Drosophila melanogaster: one gene and its partners. The protein of the gene in region 3 interacts with the protein of the main gene of each other region in a pairwise test. Each region holds a gene or a part of one and is shown on either strand. Other genes may lie near its edges.

Region 1 (6,621 bases), on a different chromosome or scaffold from region 3:
TCGTCTCAAATCTGGGTTTGGCAGTCGAACTAGGGTTCAACACTGCAGCTGAGGTGTTAAGGGATAGAGCTACAACCAAAATAGCAATAAAGAACTGTGCGAAAATTTTAAAAAATATTAGATTTTGGAACGCAGATATGATTAGTACCAACACACCAATTTTACTGAGGCCATGTTGATATCCGCTAAAGAAATCGAAAACTATACTAAAAATGTGTAAAAGATCTCCAATATATATATGACTGGTATTCAAGGCCGCATCGAATGGGTTCGTTTCAAAATTTAAAACTGAATCAAATTCGTTAACATTTTTTACAAGGCTTACGCAATGAAAAAGACTAATTGACCTTTGAAAATGTAATCCTTAAGACGAAGATGATGAACCCAACATATGAAAATACTTATTCGATCAATTCACAACTAATACGAAAAGGAAAGGATTTTGCATTCGGAAGATTATTTTTATTTCAAACTTCCTAAATAGAAGCATTCATTAGATTACTTATTTTACAGTCGGGGTTTTTTTTTTAATGTCTATTAATGCTGCAGCATCTGACATGCGATAACACAGTTGTCCTTGACCTAGTTGTAGAACATAAACATAATAGATGCACATCAAAAATGTTTATTTATAAGATCGGTTAAGTTTTAATATGGCAACGTATGACAGACATTCGTAATACAAACTTGCGTAAATGCATTCAGGAGTTCGCAGTTTTATGATTATTTATCTGATTACATATTTTAGCCTTGGTATGTTTTCCCACTGGGGACGTGCGAGCGTATCTTGTTTAAATATTCTTTGGTCTATATTTATAATAATTAAACAAAAAAAAAAAAAATATCTAATTATAAAACAATACTTTCTTCGATGACTATAAATTTGATATACCTAGAGTTCAAATAAATATTTTAAATATACTTTGAGATCATCTTGAGATACTTGTTTACTCTTTGTTTCTCGCCTTTTGGCGATGTTCGTCTAATACTTCCCGCAATCGCTTGACGAAATTAGCTTGATCTCTCGGAATAAAGCCCAGGAAGGCGTTCCTCGGGGACGAATACAGCAGCATGATAACCTTGCAGACGACCTCGGAGGAAAATCGGGCACAGCCACAACTGCCGGCGGACATTGATGATGCTAGCGAGTCGTGTTCTTCTCCAGGTGTCGATCGGAGAATTATAAGTTTCGAGTCCTTTATAAACGCTCCGGCGAACTGACCAAGATAAATTGAAGGCATCAAAACCATAGGCATATCAGTTGGCCAATCCTCCGCACTGATCCCGGGATCACCGTTTTTTATAGCTATGTACACGGAACACTCAAGCTTGTGACTAATGCTTGGCTCCTCTAAACTTGCTTGTGTCGACCAATTCAGCGATCCAGTCCATAGGAGTTCATTTATAATGGCATCTTCCTCCACAGGAGGCGGTTCTTCTGGCTGTGGCTGCTTGGGTGTTTTGACGCCCGGCTTTCGTTTTGCACCCTGAAGAATCTCCTGCAGTCGTTCGCTAAACGAATCCTCATTGTTGGGTATGAAGCCAACCAAAGCTTGATGATCGCGCGAGTAGATGAGAATTAGAGCCTTGATGTTGCAGTTGGGATTGGAGGGGAAGTGGATGCAACCAGCGAAACCAGAGCTCATCGCCGTGATCAATAAATTGAGTACCTCTCCTTGGCTGGATCGGAATACAACCATCCTGGCATCCTTTAGGAATTGTTCGCCAATTTTACCCAGCACTTTTTTGGGTATCAGTTGTGTTTTCAGCTTGTTTGGCCAGTTCTCCGTGTTGATCTCCGGCTGACCTTCTTTAACCATGGAGCAGATTTTGCATTGGACCGTGTGCAGAGTCTTCGGTTGATCCAATATCTGTGCATCCTCCCATTCGAGCTCTCCACTCCAAATTGTTTCCTTTGAGTCACCATTTTCAGGATTTTCCGGTTCTTTTTGCAAAAGCAACGCCCCAATCATATGTGTTAGACAATCGAGTTCCCCTTCGTCATCACCCACTCCTCGGGCTTCCTCTGGAACCGGCTCCATGCCCCTTTCAAGATGCAATCTAATTAAATATGGATTTTGTCGGATAGGCAACTTGTCGGTTAAAAATTTGTTTATCTGTGATATGCTTCTTCTTGCTTTTAGCGGTTTGTTATTGGTATCGCACTATCGGTTGGCTGGTTGGTCGATTGGCGGCCATCGAGATGCAACGCAATGCAACCCTGGCCAATCACTCTCACTTCTTCTTCTGCGTTTGTGTCAAAACAAAATTAAAACTAAAAACTCGCTAAAACCGTCTCGCAGCGCAATTATCTTTAGACTTCGTGTTATTTATGTGTTTGAATGTTAGCGTCGGCACCCCGCATCCCAGTGTTCATAACCCCATGTGTGCCACCTTGGTTTAAATGCTACCAATCTCCTGGCAGAGTAGCGCGTCTGAGCGAATAAAAAAACTGAACATGTTTCGCTCCAAGCACTTGTGATTGACCAAATCTCATCTAAAGCCCTGCCATGCTGCAGTACAAGAGTGCCGCCAGTGCGGCGACTAGTGCGCCACCCGCCACGCCTTTGGCGGCAGGCGGTTCCAGCAAGGCGACGATTCCACCAAATGGAGCTAGTGCAGCAGCTTCACAAACGCAGGTTCACGGTGCTCCCGGGACACCAACCATGCAGCAGATCATCAACATTCACCAAATGCCTCCTCAGTTTGCAGGCGGAGCGGTTGCCGGGAACGGACAGAACGCTGGCATGCCCCAAAACATGTTCCAGATCGTACAGCCCATGCCCATGCAAACGGTGAACATTGATGGCCAGGAGGCCATCTTCATACCAAACCTCAATGCACAACTGGCCACCGCTCAGGCGGTCAACTTCAACGGGCAACAGGCCTTTATCACGCCCAACGGTCAAATTCTGCGGGCTCCCCAGATGGCAGCTAATCCGGCAGCCTCTAACTGCATTCAGCTGCAACAGCTGAACGGCTTGGGCCAGGAGCAAACCCAGCTGATCACCATACCCGGCACCAACATTCAAATACCCGTCACCAATCTCATTCAGCAACAACAGCAGGCACAACAAGTGCACCAGGGTACAGTGCAACAGCAGGCACAAGGAACAAATGCATCTGGAGCCAATGGATCGGGAGTTACCAATAGTGGGACAGCGGGTCAGCTGCCGGGCAGCATCACCATACCGGGCACAAACCTGCAGATACCAACCTCGGTAGCGGCGGCGAATGGATTGCTGGGAAACATCTCCAATATCTCCAATTTACTAGGCGGCGGGCAATCTATAAAGTTGGAGAACGGCCAATTGCAGATGCGGCCGCAACTGGTGCAGTTTCCGGCGCCAGCCATGCCGCAGCAGCAACAAACGGTTGCTGTGCAGATTCCCGTTCAGACTGCTAACGGACAGACCATCTACCAGACTGTACATGTGCCCGTCCAGGCAGCGGCAACATCGAGCGGCGGACTGCAAAACCTGATGCAGGCGCAATCCCTGCAGATGCCCTCCGCCTCGCAGATGCAAATCATCCCGCAGTTCTCACAGATAGCCCAGATTGTTACGCCCAACGGTCAGATTCAGCAGGTGCAACTGGCAATGCCGTATCCTCAGCTGCCTCCGAATGCCAACATTATACATATCCAGAATCCCCACCAGCAGCAGCAACAACAAGTACAACAACAACAACAGCAGCAGCAGGCGCAACAGCAGCAGCAAGCGCAACAGCAACAGGCACAGCAGCAGCAACAACAACAGGTCCAGGCGCAGCACCAGCAGCTCCTTCAGGCGATCAGCGATGCCTCGGCGGGGGGACAACTGCCGCCCAATCAGCCCATCACCATTACCAATGCCCAGGGCCAACAGCTGACCGTGATTCCCGCCCAACTACGCCCAAATGCGCCTACCGCACCCACTCCTGCTCCAGCTGGTGTGCCCACACCAATGCAGATGCCCAATCTTCAGGCTTTACCCATCCAGAACATCCCAGGCCTGGGTCAAGTGCAAATCATTCACGCCAATCAGCTGCCTCCTAATCTGCCAGCCAACTTCCAGCAAGTACTAACCCAACTACCCATGTCGCATCCTCAAGTGCAAACTCAGGGCCAAGTTCAGGTGATGCCCAAGCAGGAGCCGCAGAGTCCAACGCAAATGATCACCAGCATCAAGCAAGAGCCGCCGGATACCTTTGGACCCATTTCCGCAACTGGTAATCCTCCGGCACCTGCCTCTACTCCAAACACAGCCTCACCGCAACAGCAGCAGATCAAGTTCCTGCATACGGAAAGCAATTCCCTGTCCAGCCTGAGCATACCAGCCTCCATTCAGATCACAGCCCTGCCACAGCAAGCGACGAATACACCGAATACCCCAGCCACAACCCAACCAATTCCCGTATCGTTACCTGCAAGAAGTAAGGTCAACGCTGTGACCACGTCAAGCACCCAGATTACAATTGCGCCGACTGGTGGCCAAGTGGTGTCCGTCACGACGCAGGCTAGGGGAGCAACTGCCAGCATAAGGAGCACGAACACCAGCACGACGACTATAACAACGCCGTCACAAAGCCATCTCAATATGAACATAAGTGTGGCCAGCGTCGGAGGTGCTGCAACTGGCGGCGGCGGTGGAACAGCGACTGGAGAGCCCAAACCACGCTTAAAGCGAGTAGCCTGCACCTGTCCCAATTGTACAGATGGCGAAAAACACTCGGACAAGAAGCGCCAGCATATATGCCATATAACCGGCTGCCATAAGGTATACGGGAAAACTTCCCATCTAAGGGCTCACCTGCGTTGGCATACTGGCGAGCGACCATTTGTCTGCTCCTGGGCGTTTTGCGGCAAGCGCTTCACCCGCTCCGATGAACTGCAGCGCCACCGACGAACGCACACGGGAGAGAAGCGTTTCCAGTGCCAGGAGTGCAACAAAAAGTTCATGCGCAGCGATCACCTGTCGAAGCACATCAAGACGCACTTTAAGAGCCGCTCTGGCGTGGAGCTAATTGAGCTGAGCATCAAGCAGGAGACCAAGGGTGGCAATGCACCGAAAAGCATTAGCACGGTGAACGGCATTGTGACGATTGAGATTCCGGGCGGCGGTTCAGCGGCGGCGGGCAGTGGAGCCTCCAGTGTGGCGGCCACGGTTGCAGGCTCAACTGTGACGCCGGGCGGGGCCACGATCGTTCAGCTGCCGACTGTGGAGGCCAGCGGCGGGGGTGATAGTTTCGGCGATGATGAGGACGACGAGGAGGATGATGAATTGACCGAAGAGGACGACGAAGACGAGGAGCTCGACGAGGACGATATGGATGATTGCGAGGATGAGGAGGATGACGAGGATCCAGAACTAGACAGTGGCGATGAAGTGAAGATGACAATTGCGGTCAGTGAGCCTGGCGACAATTCGTCCAACTAGCATTCGGAGTCGCTGTTCATGGAACAGTTCTTGTTTGACCACTTCCCGTAGCACCCACCGCCCCCTGCCGCGCCCCATGGGACCATGGTTTAGCAATATATAAATTGTACATAGCGTAATTATGTAAAAGCGAGCATTTTAAATGTTTACCCTTCTTGTACAGCTCCGGTTGCGGATCATCCTAGATTAGTGTACATAGCTTAATCGACCATCGTATTTTAATTAAGATTTTTATTATACATTTTATAACATTTTTAGGGATTACATGTTTTTAATTAATTAACACCAATAAATGAAGAACTTTATATAGTTTAATATATGGACATCAGGCTATTGAGGTGACGTCGATCGGCTCAGATTCTGTATTTTGAAAAGTGATAGTTCCTTCCGAATCAATTGACGGTCCAATCGACAAGCTTTCCGAATTAATTTGATCACACCTTACCCAGCTCTCATTCATCTCTGTCTCTGGACAGTTTACCTGATCGTCAGGCTCTTGAGTCGACGTGGGTCGTACTAATGTGCTCAATTGGGTGCCAAACATATAGTAGTCCGGATCAGACTCCGTATTCCGGAAACTGTTATTTGCTTGCGAATTTATACATCCAGTCCGCATCCTTCCTAAATTAATTGGATCACATCTCACCGAATTCTCATTAATCTCTGTCTCTGGACGGTTGATGTTCTCATCCTGAAATCCTGACTGCTGCTGTTCGTCCTCATCGTCTCCGATGCCGCTAAGATCAGATGACGACACGCCTGGCGGAGCCATCGCTTCCACTTGAAAGTTCATTTGAGACAGTGAACTAAGATTTGTGTTTGCTTGGTCCTCGTGGCTCTGCACCGCGTCATTAGAAGATGCATGAGCGTCTGGAGAGGATTCTGGTGCTGATAGGTTTTGACTCTTTTTCTTTTGCCATCTATCCAATCGGCTGATGTTCTGCTTCTTAGTCTCGGCTGCAACTATTTCTCTTCGCTGGGCCACAAACTCCTCCGGATACGGTTGGACCATCTTTCTGCGCACCGCTTTCATATACATTCGGTTGATGAATCTCTCAGACTTGTTCACAAAACGTCCTTTTGCTTCAAACCTCTTTTTGGCTTCCCACAGACAATTCCAAGCGGTCATATCAACCTTCACTTTGGTGCGTAGACAAAGCTCCTTTACCTCGTCCTCGGTGTATGGGCGTGCCAAGTCCTCCTC
Region 2 (4,285 bases), on a different chromosome or scaffold from region 3:
TTCTGTGGTTATAGCATTGTATATAAAAGTATTATCGATTGGCTTGTATTGCTTCGTAATGATCTTGATCACCTCCTGGGCAGCGCAGCCACCTGAAAGGAATTAGCAGAATATAGTATCGGTCAACGCATAAACCAAATGGAATATTTACCAATAAAAGCAGACACTGCATGCAACTCAGCTCCGCCATATCGACAAATCTCGTGCAGAACATCATCGCTGATGGTGGCGTGCATTCCCAAATCGCTAAGCATCTTGGCGGCAATGCTCTTCAGACGTCCAATGTCCTGCTCAACGATGCACTCGCCGGGAATGTTGCCACACTCGCTGAGGAAGCGCTCGTAGGCGCGCAGCGCAAAGTTGTATGCCGTGAGGTTGCCCTGCAGCTCGTTGTCCTCAACTGGAAGGCAAGGAAAGGTAAGTCATTTAAGGTTGTTCCAAAATAGATAGATAGATCTTTACCCAGTGGTAGCAGGCGACTGCTCTTCTCGTACTCCTCTGCAATGCGTGTACCCCTTATGACCGCCAGTCCGGCTGCTTCTTTGCAAATGAGACGCACACTTCTCTCATCAATGCTGTCGGCAGGCAAAGCCAACTGCTTAAGGTACTCCTGGCACTTGTGATACACCTGGTCGGCGTCTTGCAGCGCCTGTTGGCGGTAGATGTGCTGCAGGGCGATATAGGAGTCCGTATTGGCAGTCATGTCCGGCAGAACGCCAGGCAGAGGGAGATGGCCCTCATTCTCATGTATCACAAAGTGCTTTAGGGCCTTGGCCATGATCCAAAAGACGTTGCTCTGTAAAAAAAAAAGAAAAACAAATGAAAGTAAAGTATACGTATAAATTCAGATTATATGGGCAACCTTCTTGTTTAACTGTTCGCAGGCATCATCTTCGAATATGGCTTTCAGGCTTTTGGGAACCTGTCCCGCTCCAAAGGCTGTATTGACCGCCTTGATGGCCTCTTCATAGTTTTCCTCATCCGCCTTCATCTCCTCTCTAATGGTCTCCTTCAACTGATTCTTCTCTTTGTAATTTCGAGGCGTTTGAGTCCCATCCGCTTGTTGTTTTTGCCACACATTAAGGTATTTGTGAAGAACCAGCAACCAGGGCACCTTACTGGTCACCTCGGTGCCGTCGAGATGCTCCCGCAAAGCATCGAATGGATGCTCCAGACGCAGATCAAACTGTCGATTATCCGGATGCGCCTCCACGATGCAGTGTTCCCGTATTTGCAAGCGTATTGTGCCCAGCATGCCAAGCGATCGGCAGTAGATTAATGGAACGTTAAGCTCCCATAACCGTTCGGCCAGGAGAAGCAAAGTCTGCTCATTGAGATTGGAGGCAATCACTAAATCGAAGCTGTCGAAGAAGTTCGGTCTGTTGGCTAATAAAAAGTCGGCACTCTCGTCGACATAATCGCCATTTACGTCGGGATTGAGTTCCTGGAGAAGTTGCATGCAAGCCAATGCTTTAGATTTGCCCAGATAGCTGGAATCGAGGAAGAAACTACGGAAAAAGTGACTTTATAATGGTGGTCAGGGAATGTGTGATGGTCTACCGACTTGTTGCCCAGATCCTCCTCCTTGACGGTGCTGCCATCGGCCACAGTGAAGCCTCCGATACCGGGTAGCACCAGTCCCTTGGCAGTTTCACAGCCGACGGCCGTAACATTCACCAAACATACTGTGGCTGCCTCCAATAGCGTCTGTCCATGCTCTCCCCACAGCCTAAATAGGTGTCATCAGTGCTATGCTTCCGAATTTATCAATTAAAACGCTCCTCACCTGATTTGTCTGTCGTATTTCTTGCTTTTATCCGAAAGCTCTGGCGATTTGGGGGCTGGCGAGGACATTTCACTAGATTTTTGTGCAATAATAAGCCGGTTGCAAATAATCCAGTACTGTAAAGCGCCGGCAGCCAATACTTCTGACACAATTTGTTTATTGGGTGGAGTGTTGGAAAAAACACGTTGGTAATTTTAACTGTTGCTTATTTAAAACATTTATTGACTATTACGTATTACATTTCATTTAATTTTATTGCATTAAACTACATCTACGTACAAGCAATCAGTCTTTACAAATAAAATGTATAAACAGTTGAGAAATTAAAAAGTGAAAGTCTGAGCAAACCAAATAAAGTGTCTGGTTGACAGTTTTTGAATAGCATTCCATGGCTATGGTTTTGGGTGAGTTTTAATATTGATTTTCAACATGCAATTAATTTAATTAAATAATACCGCTAACTGTTTGTTGGCTGGGCAGTGTAGGCAGCGCATTTTGCAACACTGGGAGGGCTAATGAACAGCTGTTTTATCGTGTAATTTCACAACAAAACAACGCATACATCGCTGTGTTTTCTTCTGCATTTCCGTCCGATTGCGATCCAATTTGAACTAAATAAATATCAGTATTATCACGGAGATAATGCCGGCCAAAAAGAGAACTGCCGCGTCGACCAGCAAAAATAGCGATTCGCCATTAAGTCCGCACACAGACGATCCAGCGTACAAAGAAAAAAGAAAGAAAAACAATGAGGTAAGTTTAAGAGTTTTGGATGTAAACAGAGAGCAAAGATTGGGAAACATGTTGCTGTGGCGCCGTGGCCCCCAGAAGTCCCCAAAAATAGATGCCCACTATTGATTTATTACTATTCTCGGAACAGGCTGTTCAGCGCACACGCGAAAAGACCAAGAAATCGGCCGAGGAACGTAAGAAACGCATCGATGATTTGAGGAAGCAAAACGATGCTCTTAAGGTTCAGATCGAGACGAGTGAAAAACATATATCTACGCTTAGAGATCTGATCATTCAGGGTGAGAAAACGGAGGACGGCCATCGAATCATCCAGGAGATTCTCGCTGAACCAGATCCCGATCCCAAGGACAATGACTAACGAGGAGCTTCTCCTGATTTACCTTCTTATATTTTCATACTTTTAAGCCATTTCCCATGGTTGTTAACCATGTGTATCATCTTAGTTTTTCGATTAAAATGGTGCAATTGCTCGAATTCTATTACAAAGACAAGCACTCATGCAGACGAGAACAGTGTTTGTTAAAATCCTACATAAATGGTTTTCATTATTGGTGAGTTTTTATCATTTCTCACCAAATACTTGTTTTTGTTGTACTTTTCTTTTACTTTTGTTTATATTGTAACACTTAATCACTGTATCCATGTTGCACTGAATCTAAATTTTAAAATTATCTATATTTAGTAATAGTGATTTCTATTATTTTCGACATGATTCATACAGCTAAAATCATGCGAGTCTTGAATCAAATAAAGTGTCTATTATGATTTTACCCATATCAGTGTTATTTTATACCCAATACTTCAGCTGTTTACAACTACTACTACTATTATTATTTCCTTGAAAGTTGATGAACTCATTAATCAGAAATACAACCCAGATTCCATCATATACATATGTTCTACGTTTAAGTAGAACTTCCGGCAAATTAGATACTAACCGTCGTAAACGTCCAATTTCTCCATGTGTAGGCTAAAGACCTCGTCCATTTTCCGAGATATGAACATATGAACTAAAACTATAGCTATTGAGAAAGTGTCGTTGTGCCGATAGGTTTTTGGTTTCGGGTGTCCCGTTAGGTCTTGCTCTCTTTGCTTTTGTTGTGGGCGCTCCTTCCGTCTTCTTCTTTCAAACACTCACAAAAACATTGATTTACTGCACTTTTCGCACATTCATTTGATGCACAACTCGACGGCGATTTGATTTGGCGGGTGGTTGGTTTCGTGTCGAAATGGAAGTTGGATTGTGGGGCTTTTTTCGCGTTCAATAAATTGCCGTCTTCCGCTAATTAGCACCACCCGCACACTGATTCCGATTCAATATCAATTTGAAGTTGCTCACATGGCACGAGGCGAAATAAACTGAAATGTGTTTTCAGTTTTTACAGCGTTGCTTTGTTGTATTTGGCTGGTCGGCAGCTGAACGTGTATTTCCTTATTTTTTATTTATAATTTCACGTAACTTTATTTTGGTTGTTTTGGCCGCTCTCGCTCGCTCTTTTACTGCACGGCCTTGCTCTCGCTTTTTTCTCTCGCGCAGTGTTGCAAAGTTTTCAGCGAGGAACAGCTGATTCAGTATTTCGTTAAAAACCGTTAAAAAGCGTGGTTGTTTTGAAATTGTTGAAATTCTTGAAAATTTTTTTTTATCTTGTTTATGTTCTTATATTAAAATCCTGGTCAGACTTATATTTTAAATATTAAGTTAATCATATTGTCTATGAAATTTGCAAAAATTGGTATATAATTCCA
Region 3 (5,849 bases):
AATTTGTGTACACAATGTGGCGTCACATTGGCATTTTAACGCCGTTAATCATGCGACACAGGGCGCCTGCATAAGGCCATCCATTCGATATGGATTCTTTGGGTCCGGGTCTCTCCGCCTCGATCGGTCTCGCATTTGGCCATGCTTTGCTTTGGATTTGGACTCGGACTCGCATTTGGACGTGGACTTGTATTAAGTTTGTCTCTGGGAGCGTGGGCCTAAGTGGAGCACCATTAGCCACGGGTTGCTCTCCGGGGTTAAGCACTCTATTTGGCCATTTGCTGGATGCGTCGAATGACGATGGAATTGTCTTCAGTCTGGGGATGGGGCAAAATGGGCGGGGGAGACCTTCGAGAACAGTGAAATTCGAGCTGACAATTGAGTGAGCCCATCAATTTGGAAGGTTAAGTTAGCTGGCCTGGGGCATTCCAATAATAAAGGTGTCCAATGGCACATGGTCTATCCATATTGGTAAAGTCAATCTCATTATATTAACTCAGCAAAACTGAAAGGTAAAGCATCTTCCTACAGTTATAATCCTAATCTTTTGATCAAGTTGGTATATCCTTTTAATCCGTTGAAAATCCAAGCAAAACAATCATCCGAATCCATCTAAAAACCTGTGCAAAGTCATGGCAAATCCAAACGGGCTTAACTTGGCACCTTCTCCGATCCGGGACTTTAAACGGTCTCCAACTGTTAGTATTTTGCAACTGGACATTACAATCCGCTTATGCGAAAAACGAACACCCACAGAGACGGAGGGAAAACTGCCCAAATATTGTATAATAAACTGTTGTCCAACTCAAAGATAATCCCATTAATCCGCACTGAAAATTATTAGTGTTGTGCACACACACATAGTTTCGGACAGGAAGGTTGAGATGTGAAGATCTGAAAATCTGGAGATCTCTGGGAGATCTTCAGCACAGCATGATCCTGACTCTGGACTTTGGGTTTCCGTGTGAAGGGCATGCGAAAGGCGTTAATGCTGCGTGAAATTAGATTTGCAGCGATGGGAAAGAGAAATAAAATGGCAAACTGCAAACAGAGAGTGAGATTATATATGGCCAGATCTCTGGTAAGAGAAGTAAGTGCGTCGGGGGCTTCCACGAAACTCGAGCCGCCTCGAGAGTTACAGTTTAACACCCCGAGATAAATGTGTAGCGGTATGGGCGATAACAGGCTCAAAACTGGGTCCAAAAAAAGGGCTCAAAGCAGTGACACACACGTCGCAGGACGTGGGATATGGTCGAAAGCGATTACCACACTTCTTTCACCTCGCACCGTGGTCATCCCTTTATTTTTTGTAGGAGGCGGACAGTGAGTTGGCAAGGTGCCATTAAAAATTACAACCGAAAAGTGAAAAGAAGAAACCGAAGCGAGAAAAAATGACAATAAAAGGACATAAGGCTCTGAAGACAAAGGCACCGAAGTCCATTTGATACGAATCTAATTGTGCTAATGGCGCAGAATTCCCGGGAAAAACACCCACACACACGAGATCCTGGCCTGACAACAGAACCAATAAGTCGGTGGAAACAATTAGGATGTGTGGCACTGCCACTTCAGTGCGAACAAAGGAATACCTTCGTAACCCCAAACACAAACACACCACAAGATACAAAGATACAATGCGGCAAGGTATGAGCGATCTTCCCTAGATCCATCGCAAATCGGATGGGAATTTCGTGGCCGAAGCAAGTCGATTTCGGACGCTTCTCACCTTCAGCCCGTAAGATATGACAGTTGCTCAAAAGTCGGCGCAGATTAGCTGCCAGCTGAGCCCATTTACCGTAATCGCTTAGCTAATTAGACTCTAATTGATGGAGCGCAGCGGGAGGTCCAGACGAGGTCAAAGATCAGACAGACGGGAAAGAAATGGTCGCGGGAAAGCAGTAAGAATTTCAGAGGTCACGAAACTCTTACAACAACTTTACTTCAGTATAACTATGTTAAACGAATTTCCCTATATTGTAAATGTTAGTCCTACTTCCAGAAAGTTCCCCTAGAATATGGGTTCTGATTTCTGCGATTTCGCACCAGATTCATTGGAATTTTCGCACAAGTGCCAAATCTCAGGTATTTCAAAGTACCTGACTTTGACGCAACTTTTTGAACATCTGTTGTTAGCTTGAGCCGTACTCATTGGTATTTCATAATCCAATGAAAAAAGCACAACTCCATGACTCATAGGCAAATAACTTGTACCAAAACGGCTGATGATGATATGCCAAACATTCTTGGCGATGATTTGCCGTGTTTTGTGCGTCCGCGATCAACCTTCGACAAACTAGGCTTTTTGTTCTTAATGCTGACTCATTAAACTTCTCAGCTTCTATTCTTTCAATCTGAAAAAATGCCGACGGCTTTAAGAGTTTTCAATTCCTAGACAATTTCAATGGAAAACGACTGAAACCTTTAAAAATAGAACAGGTTGAAAGTTTAGGATACAATAAAAACTTATATTTGTTCTGAAGAGAGCTCAAATGTTTTTTTAGACCAACTTTAATAGAAAATAATATTAAATAGTTTTCTTTTCGAAAATTAATGAGCATTTTTTTATGAGATACAAATTATTTCTTCTTCATTCATTTCGGAAATTAATAACACATTTGTACTATACAATGAGAGATCAATAAACTCGGTTGTATTTCAAGTAGATCACCCATTTTGGGGAATTCGTGTCAAGAAGTGCGGGTAAAAACTTTTTACAGTCCAATAGGGAAATATTCGGACTTGGCGTCCGCCATTTTGGCAAATGGCGACACTTTCTCACGCACACAGAGGCCGAAAAGCTCCGTTGGCCACACGCATGCCATATTAGACGCATCGCCCCTCTCCCTCTGGCACACTAAAGAGCCGAAGTGAGAGGCCCGGGCAGAAAGAGAGGCCGATACACGCACCCGTGTTACGTGTGGGGTTTACTTCTTCTTTTCTTTGCTCAGTTTTCAGTTGTCCAATGAAAGCGGCGTAAAACTGGTAGCGAAACAAGTGTGGAAGGGGGAAGAACGACGAACAGAAGAACACGAAGAACGCCATTGAAGAGAGGAGCTGAAGAAAGACTTACCCAATGGGATGCACTGGAGTTACGCGTTCTTCGGACTCGAGTAGAGGCTAACCGATTTCTATAGCTGAGTTTTGTGCGATTTTCGTATGTCCGCTGAATGGATAGATCGATTTGTATCTCTTTTGAAGGTACTCGCGAAGGAAATGTTACTGATGTTGTTACTGATACTGTTACTGATGAGAGGGAACTATATACGCACGCTCGAGCGGCACAAAGTTGAATGAATGAATGCTACTAATAACTGAAAGAAATAGTAGTCGCCTCTGCCGCCGTCCTCTGTCGGCGTCGCTGCCGGCGTCGCTGCTGGCAAGTTGAGGAAGCGAGATCATCGCTCTGTCCCTGTCTGTTACTCAATTCGGTGGCACTGTGTGAGTGTGTGTAAGTGTGTGTGAGTCATCCGAAGAGAAACGAAGCAAAACGAAGACCGGTAGCCGAAGCTACTGCTCATGCGCAGCGCTCGCTAGCCATCCCTTTCGCTCGCCCTAAGTTCTTATGCGTAAGTACAGAAGCTGGCAAACGGAAGCCACAAAATGGCGTCTCTTCTAACGGAAGCCAAGCGTAAAAGTCACAAAATGGCGTCACTTACCTATTGCGAAAGCACGAAATTCCGTTTGCTATTTGGCAAGACACAAATTGTATGCAATTTCTGTTTGGTAGCACTGTGTTGGGTAATATTATTAATAAAATATATTTCACTTCCGAACGCTTCTGTGCGCGAGAGTCAACTGCAAAGTTACGATCGAAAACTTCAGCTTGATGGGTTGAACTTTTTCTGTTTTCCTTTTTTTGGTTACCCTCTTTTTTACAGCCCTCTCTCGGTTGGCTGTCCCTTTCCCACGCACTGTTTGGGTCGCGGAGAACGAGTTTTGAGTGTTTCAGCTGATTGGTCGGAGGAAAATGAGCTAAAGAGCGAACTGAGAAAACTGGAGAGTGAGCGAGCGAGAGAAGGCTACCTGAGTTGAGTGGTTTCGAAGGCGTTACCTGAGTTGACTGTTAATTAAGCTTAAGTAAGCCAACATTTCAATTAAGTTTAGGCGACTAATGAGTGAAAGGTGTGCTGGATAATGCGGGCTGTAATAAGCTTGCGATTTCTTTGGATTTCCTCGGACTTCTTCTCTGTCTTTCTAGCTGCTGTTTGGCTAAAAAGGTAACTTTCTTTCACTTATACCTGTGTATATTTTTATAGATGTGGGCGTGGCTTTGGGCGGCGCTCTGTCTGTCCCACTCTTTCGCGCCGTCTCGCTCGCTCACCCCCTTTTTAACTGCTTCTTAACCCGTTTTGCGAGCGAGCGAGAGGCCAAATATAAAAACCAGTGGCAGAGCAGAGCAACCGTATTACGCAGTGCTCAATTTTTAGTGTATTTATCTTCTTTTTTTGTGGAGCTCCATTTTGTTTTCAGGGCCTGAGAAACTTTTTTCTCGCATTTCCTTTGGCTTTGCCGCCTCCGCCTTTGTTGTCGCTCTTCTGCTTGTGTGGCCTCTTTAGACCCGAAAAAATAATACTACAAAAACACCATATTGATGGTCTGTTTATCTTTTGTGCCTCACCATATCTGTTTATCTTTTACGATTTCTCAATGAAATCTGAAAAACTGTGTCGTTCATTCAGCAAGAAACTTCATTAACTTAACACCCAGTGTTTTTAATTAGGTGCGCCAGAAAAGGATTGTTTTTAATTAAGTTTTCGCCTGTCCATAAAGCTTAACAAATTATTTTCGACTGCTTTTGGGCATTTTTAAGTGCAATCCGTTGGCAACTCCACTTTGATGGCTTCATCTCTGTCCGCCTCGCTTTTGTTTCACTCCATCTGTGTCCATCTGTCTTATTGTTTTTCGGATCAAATTTGCATATTTTAAATGGCCAATCAGCAAACTCGAAAAGGAGACGTATCGACAATTGTGAGGAGCTTCCTTTTGAAGGAGAAACTAATTATGAACCCTCCAAAGAAGAGTCTGAAAAATGACTTGGCTTACTTGGCAATTTTGAAGACTTTGTTTTCAGAGGCGAGGAATGTGATGCAATATTTCACTCGATGTTGAAAGGTTGTTTGGTTCACAAAGATTATTGTATTTATTATCATAAACAAACAATAATTTGACCTTCACATCCATATGTAGTCATTTTTTTTTGGATTTTCCGCATCCTTTACTCATCTATCATCTTCAAATAATCTGTCACTTAAAAAGCCCCTAAATTTTTGACAAATACCTCGCAACTTTCTCAATCTAACAACAAATAAAGTTAGGGCCAGCATAAATTCCAACGACCCAAAACTTGTGCGCCAGACAGTGCACACAAAAGTATTAAATTTCATTAATTGCCAATATTAAAAAGGCAAACAAAATCGAACAGTAAAAAAAATGAAGATTGGTGAAAAATTAAAAATTCATACGGCAGCGATGCGGTCACATAAATTTCGGAGGAGGCAACAAAGACTACAGCTAAGAAAAGGCAGATGCAAAAAATTATAATAAATATATACGCGAAGATACACGGATGAATCTGTGGAAGCAGGCAAATGTCGAAGACGTGGGCGTTGAATGGGATCCGTCGGGGTTTTTTCGGATTCAGTTTTTATACTTTTTGGTTAATAATAATGAAACTGGACCGCAGCCACCGCAGCAAGGCGTTGTCAACAGTTGGCGACGATGATGCCGATGAAGCTGATGATGCTGATGATGTCGCTGGTGCTGATGATTCCGGTGATGACGAGGCCCCGACTTGCCTCCATCTTAAGCTCTTCATTTCTTCATTTGGCACACGGTAGTTGGCTGGGCTG
Region 4 (4,697 bases), 920 kb from region 3:
AGCGCACAAATCCAAGGACGCCATAAGCGGACGTCACCTTGGGCGAACCCGAAAGGGAAGCGACAAAACGTCGGATCTCCAGGCTGTTAAACTCGTTGGCATTCTCCTCGATACTCAGCCGGTTGTGGGCAAGTCGGTCTATGGTCAGGAGGCGAAACCGAGTCTCCCGATTGTTGCTGCCCACCAAATAGAGGCGCTGAAATTATGGCGATATATGTGATTAGTCAAAAAAAGGTCAGCTGGAGGTGATTTCTTACCGCTCGTGTCTCATAGAGCACTACTTTTTGGATGGAGCTTATCAGGGGATTGAAAACTATATTCGGATTATCATTGTTCATTTTTTCAGCTTTTCCGAAATTTTTTTGTTACAATTTCTCAGGCCGCTCCCACATAAACAACAAACAGCTGATCATCATCTGTAGTTGGATATGCGAGAAATGGCCAGTGTTGGCAGCGTGAGAGGGAGTCGATTAATTAATTTTGTTTTGGTTCAATCAAATATAAATAACATTTTATTCCATCATAAAACATATCAAAATAGGCATATTCATTACCAACCAATTTTATGCCTTATTCTTACAATACCTATGAATATGTTAGCTTATTTTATCATCTAGCAAAATCATTTTTGTCCATTTTAAAGTAGTGCACATGGAAGATATGTCTTCCAAGTGTTTTTAAAGTAGTGGTCACTTGTGTATCTCGAGGATATGTCTAGCAAGTGTTTTTCTCTGCTTATAGAAACTGGCACAGTGAGGACACTTAAATGTTCTTTCAGCGTTGTGTACGAGCTTGTGCTCCTTGAGAGTGCTGCTCAGCCGAAAAGTCTTGGGACAGTGGGAGCAGCGAAATGGACGATCTGGTAAGTGCAGGCGGCTGTGCTGCTTGAGGTGCTGCTTCATAGCGAAGGCCTTGGGGCAGTGGGAACACTTGAATGGTCGTTCACCAGTGTGAGAACGGAAATGGTTATCAAGGTGAAACTTCCTCGTAAATGTTTTCGTGCACTTGGAGCACTTGAACGGTCTCTCGCTGCCATGTGTGCGGATGTGACGCCGGAGATCGGATGATTTAATAAAGGTTTTTGAGCACTGTGAACACTTGAATGGTCGTTCGCCAGTGTGAGTTCGCTCATGCGACTGCAGAGTGGACTGCTGCGCAAAGGTCTTGGCGCAGTGGGAACACTCGTAGGGTTTCGCTGCATTGTGGGTCTTCATGTGCGCCTTGAGAGTGACTCTAAGTCTAAAGTTCCGCTTGCAGTAGGGGCATGGGAAGGATTGTCCGTCCATGTGTGTTCGCATGTGCCTCAGAAAAGTTCCCTTTCGCTGGTATTTCTTGTGGCATTCTCGACATTCGAATGCTACCTTCTTGCTGTCGCTTTTCCCATCGTCATCAGCAGCGGATGCAGAATCAATCCGCGCATCTTCGTCTTCCGAAATCTCCCAGTCTTCTTCTTCGAGCAAGGCGCATAAAGCATCCTCGATGCCTTCATCGCGAACTCGGCAGTAGAACTGGTGGCTTTCCTCACAAGTTTGCCTTATCCCATACGCGCTCTTTACGTCCTCATAGCACTGTGGGCATATCATTTCCGAAAACAAATCGCCACGTTTGACCTCGAATCCGGTGCACTGCGCGATCATCTCGGCAATGGAAACTCTGGTTCTTCGTCTGGCGTCAAATATGTTAACGAGTTTACCAGAAATATCCATACAAACTCGGCATATTTCCGCCATTATCCCTGTAATAAACAATACTTATTAGGCTGAACTTTATGAAGGACTATATTACTTACCTGATGTATATACTAAATAGCTTATAGCTGGAAAAGCAATCTTTTATAATTTAGGAATCCGTTTCATACATCCCAATTAATTGAAAATTAATGCGATTGCCTTGATGAACAATTCAAAATAATAATAAGCTAAACTTCACATTGTGCACAGTACACTGGGCACCCTATTCTCTGGGCCATATGCTAAATCGATTTATTATCGATGTTCGAAATTCAAATTATTTATCAAAATGATGATTTTTGAAACTAAGGTGTGTTTACCATATTTAACAGCTGAGATAAACGCAAACTTGCAAGGGTCGCCCTGTGGTGGTCAGCCCAAGTTTTGATGGGAAAATTCTTATCGGATATCGATATCCTTTACCTGTTGAAGAATATAAAATTGAAATAAATTTCTTTGGAAAAACAAACATTTATCTTCGTATAGTTTTTTCACATTTTCGCCTAGCTAGTGGTGAATAATTTTGGACAGAAGGAGCACTGGACTTTTTCCGTGGAAATCATAGAAAAATTAAATTAAAAAGGCACAAAAAGGAAATGAATCTCCTCGCCGAACTTCTTTGCCAGTATAAAAATAAATTCACATATGAAAAATCGGGTTCCTGGGTGCCACTGAATATGTTTATCCATCGATTCCGGGCTCAGATTACCACCATTGACCTGAAATTAAATAAGCATTACTTACTCCAAATAAAATATAAACAAACAAGTGCGTACCTTTTTTGTTTACAATTTTAACAGCTGATGAGTGAAGTGCTGTTAACCTTTCATAGTTATCGATAATCTGTTATTATTATCGGAATATTGCTCACTTGCTAAGGATTCCATGAAATTTAAACAAATGGACTTTGTGACGACAACTGGGGAGGGAAGTTTTCTGCGAAACAAGATTCGTGCATATGCCAAGGATCACCGTGTTGAGTGCCGCATAAAGGCGAAAGACTCATTGCGCATTGGACTTGGACAGGTTAAGCAGGAAGTGGCGGCTCTTGAGATGGGCACCAAGGACGTCATTGGAATGGCCAGCAGGATCAAGCGTCGCAAGCACGCCACCTCCGAGGATCTGTGCCGCTTGTCGCTGGGGTTCCTCCAGAGCAATGACAACATCAATGCATTCGCAGCTATTCCTGGCGCCATTCAGGTTCTGGTTAAGGAGCTAACTGGTAACCAACTGCACCCTCATTAGCTTTAGTTTTATATAAAAAGGTTGACTTGACTTTCAGGACCTCACATTCAACGACAGACAGATGCCGTGGAGTGCTTGTGTAATCTTTCCTTGGGCGAGGCCCATGTCTCCGAAAAGATTGTCACTTTGGCGGGCAGCTACATGGTCACCTACCTTGATGGCAAGGCCGAACGCCTCAAGCGCAGTTGCCTGTGGACACTGGCCAACGTTCTGGGCACATGCGACAAGGCCGGCAGCGTATTGCTGCAAATGCAAATAGTACCCAAGCTGTGGAGGCTCTACATCGAGCCCAATGGCTGCCAAGAAGATGCGGCCATCTGCCTCTCCCTGGTGGCCACCCGCTGCCCGCAGCATGTGAGTGACGAGGATCGAAGGTACATTGGCCAGAATCTGCCTGAGAAGCTCCACGGCCAGCCTGCCAGCGAGTACTTCATGTACATAGTGCACCAACTGGAAATAGTGACACAGGAGCACAAGTTAGATGCTCAACAGGCCGAATGCCTGGTGCGTTTCTTTGAAGCCACCTTAGCATCGCCAGCCGACCGGCTGTGCCTAATCTACGCCGTGCGTGTAATGACCAATCTGGTAGCCCTAGGTGACACAAGTCTAATATTCGCACTGGCAGACCCGCAGAATCTTGTGCAAACCCTAAACCAGCTCTTCGCTCTGCGAGATCCAGATCTCAACCTGGACGCGATGCGCTTGCTCAAGAACTGTCTGCACTTGAAGGTAGCAGATTCCAACCTGGTACTGAATAGCTTGCAAATATACGCATAGGCTTATGGTTAAGAATAAGTCTTGCAAATCTCTTTATTGGTCTTAGAGTACATATAAATATAAAGCCACGGACTTTTGAGTACTCGAGAATGTATTGTAAATGAACATGGATTGCCGCTAAGCAAAACTAAATCACTAATGGAAACAGAATAAAATAAATAAATAATAAATAAATACAATACGACAAAAACACAGATGCAAAGTGGTCAACATGATTACTAGTTTGATTGAGCCACCGGCATGAAAAACAGGACTTTGTAAAACCTAAATATCATCCTCGAAGAGGGCGATTATTTGACGCCTTTTGGCTTCGTCGTCGGCGTTCAGTTCATTGCCCCTGTGGGCATTGTGGTTGTGCACCTCCAGTTCGGAGACTGAGTCAAATTCTAAATTGCACTGCCCGCAGCGGGCTGAGAAAACGGGCGCTGGACCCTGCGAAACTGTGCCAGGAGAGACAGCGGCCCGTTGCAGCTTCTCGAGGAACGTGGCTCTCTCCCTGTGCTTGTCCAGCCCGATTCCCAGCGCCGCCTTTCCGCGAATGGGAATGGGTTTTTTCACCGTCGGCGTGCCCTGGGAATGGCAACTTTCAGAGCGCTCAATGGCGTACAGCACGTTGTTCTCCTCCGTGATCGGAGTCGTCGTTCCGCTGGCACAGTCGAATAGAGATGGTTCCTGCACCGGCCGGGGATCGGGTATATCTATGGGAATTGGCGGCTCAGCTATCTTCTCACCGTTGGACACCTTCACCTGATTGAGCTTCTCGGCCAGAAGCGAGTCTATGGAATGTTCCTGCAGCCAGGCGCAAGTTTTGTGCAGAGCGAATATCATGCGGCGGATGAACTCGTGCGGCGAGACCATTTTCTGTCGCCTAATCTCGAGCAACTTGGTCACCTCGGTAACAAACGTGACGAACTGGTATTCGACGCAGTTGTCCAGATGCGACTG

Evidence for each region.
Region 1: the proteins of drm (region 3) and Spps interact in a two-hybrid assay, tested with the Drosophila melanogaster proteins (one large-scale study listed by BioGRID).
Region 2: the proteins of drm (region 3) and Irbp18 interact in a two-hybrid assay, tested with the Drosophila melanogaster proteins (one large-scale study listed by BioGRID).
Region 4: the proteins of drm (region 3) and Paris interact in a two-hybrid assay, tested with the Drosophila melanogaster proteins (one large-scale study listed by BioGRID).

The regions. Positions count from the first base shown.
Region 1 is NT_033777.3:24,222,545-24,229,165, reverse strand, and holds Spps (Sp1-like factor for pairing sensitive-silencing), read left to right. Parts: upstream 1-2,231; 5' UTR 2,232-2,510; coding exon 2,511-5,417; coding exon of another isoform or gene 5,418-5,468; 3' UTR 5,469-5,721; downstream 5,722-6,621. Other genes in the region: Acp95EF (accessory gland protein 95EF), read right to left, coding at 1-94, 157-174; CG13609 (uncharacterized protein), read right to left, coding at 948-2,042; cav (caravaggio), read right to left, coding at 5,743-6,621.
Region 2 is NT_037436.4:11,096,254-11,100,538, reverse strand, and holds Irbp18 (inverted repeat binding protein 18 kDa), read left to right. Parts: upstream 1-2,352; 5' UTR 2,353-2,397; coding exon of another isoform or gene 2,398-2,428; coding exon 2,429-2,539; intron 2,540-2,666; coding exon 2,667-2,897; 3' UTR 2,898-3,093; downstream 3,094-4,285. Other genes in the region: APP-BP1 (beta-Amyloid precursor protein binding protein 1), read right to left, coding at 1-92, 152-400, 463-796, 863-1,508, 1,565-1,729, 1,787-1,854; CG33947 (uncharacterized protein), read right to left, coding at 2,398-2,447, 3,478-3,526.
Region 3 is NT_033779.5:3,537,199-3,543,047, reverse strand, and holds the start of drm (drumstick), read right to left. Parts: upstream 3,316-5,849; 5' UTR 3,071-3,315; intron 1-3,070. UniProt on the Drosophila melanogaster protein: Putative transcription factor. May function redundantly with odd and sob in leg joint formation during the larval stages, acting downstream of Notch activation.
Region 4 is NT_033779.5:4,460,879-4,465,575, reverse strand, and holds Paris (parkin interacting substrate), read right to left. Parts: upstream 1,966-4,697; 5' UTR 1,790-1,965; intron 1,736-1,789; 5' UTR 1,731-1,735; coding exon 690-1,730; 3' UTR 501-689; downstream 1-500. Other genes in the region: FIG4 phosphoinositide 5-phosphatase, read right to left, coding at 1-196, 258-338; CG15443 (uncharacterized protein), read left to right, coding at 2,616-2,952, 3,013-3,752; CG15435 (uncharacterized protein), read right to left, coding at 4,017-4,697.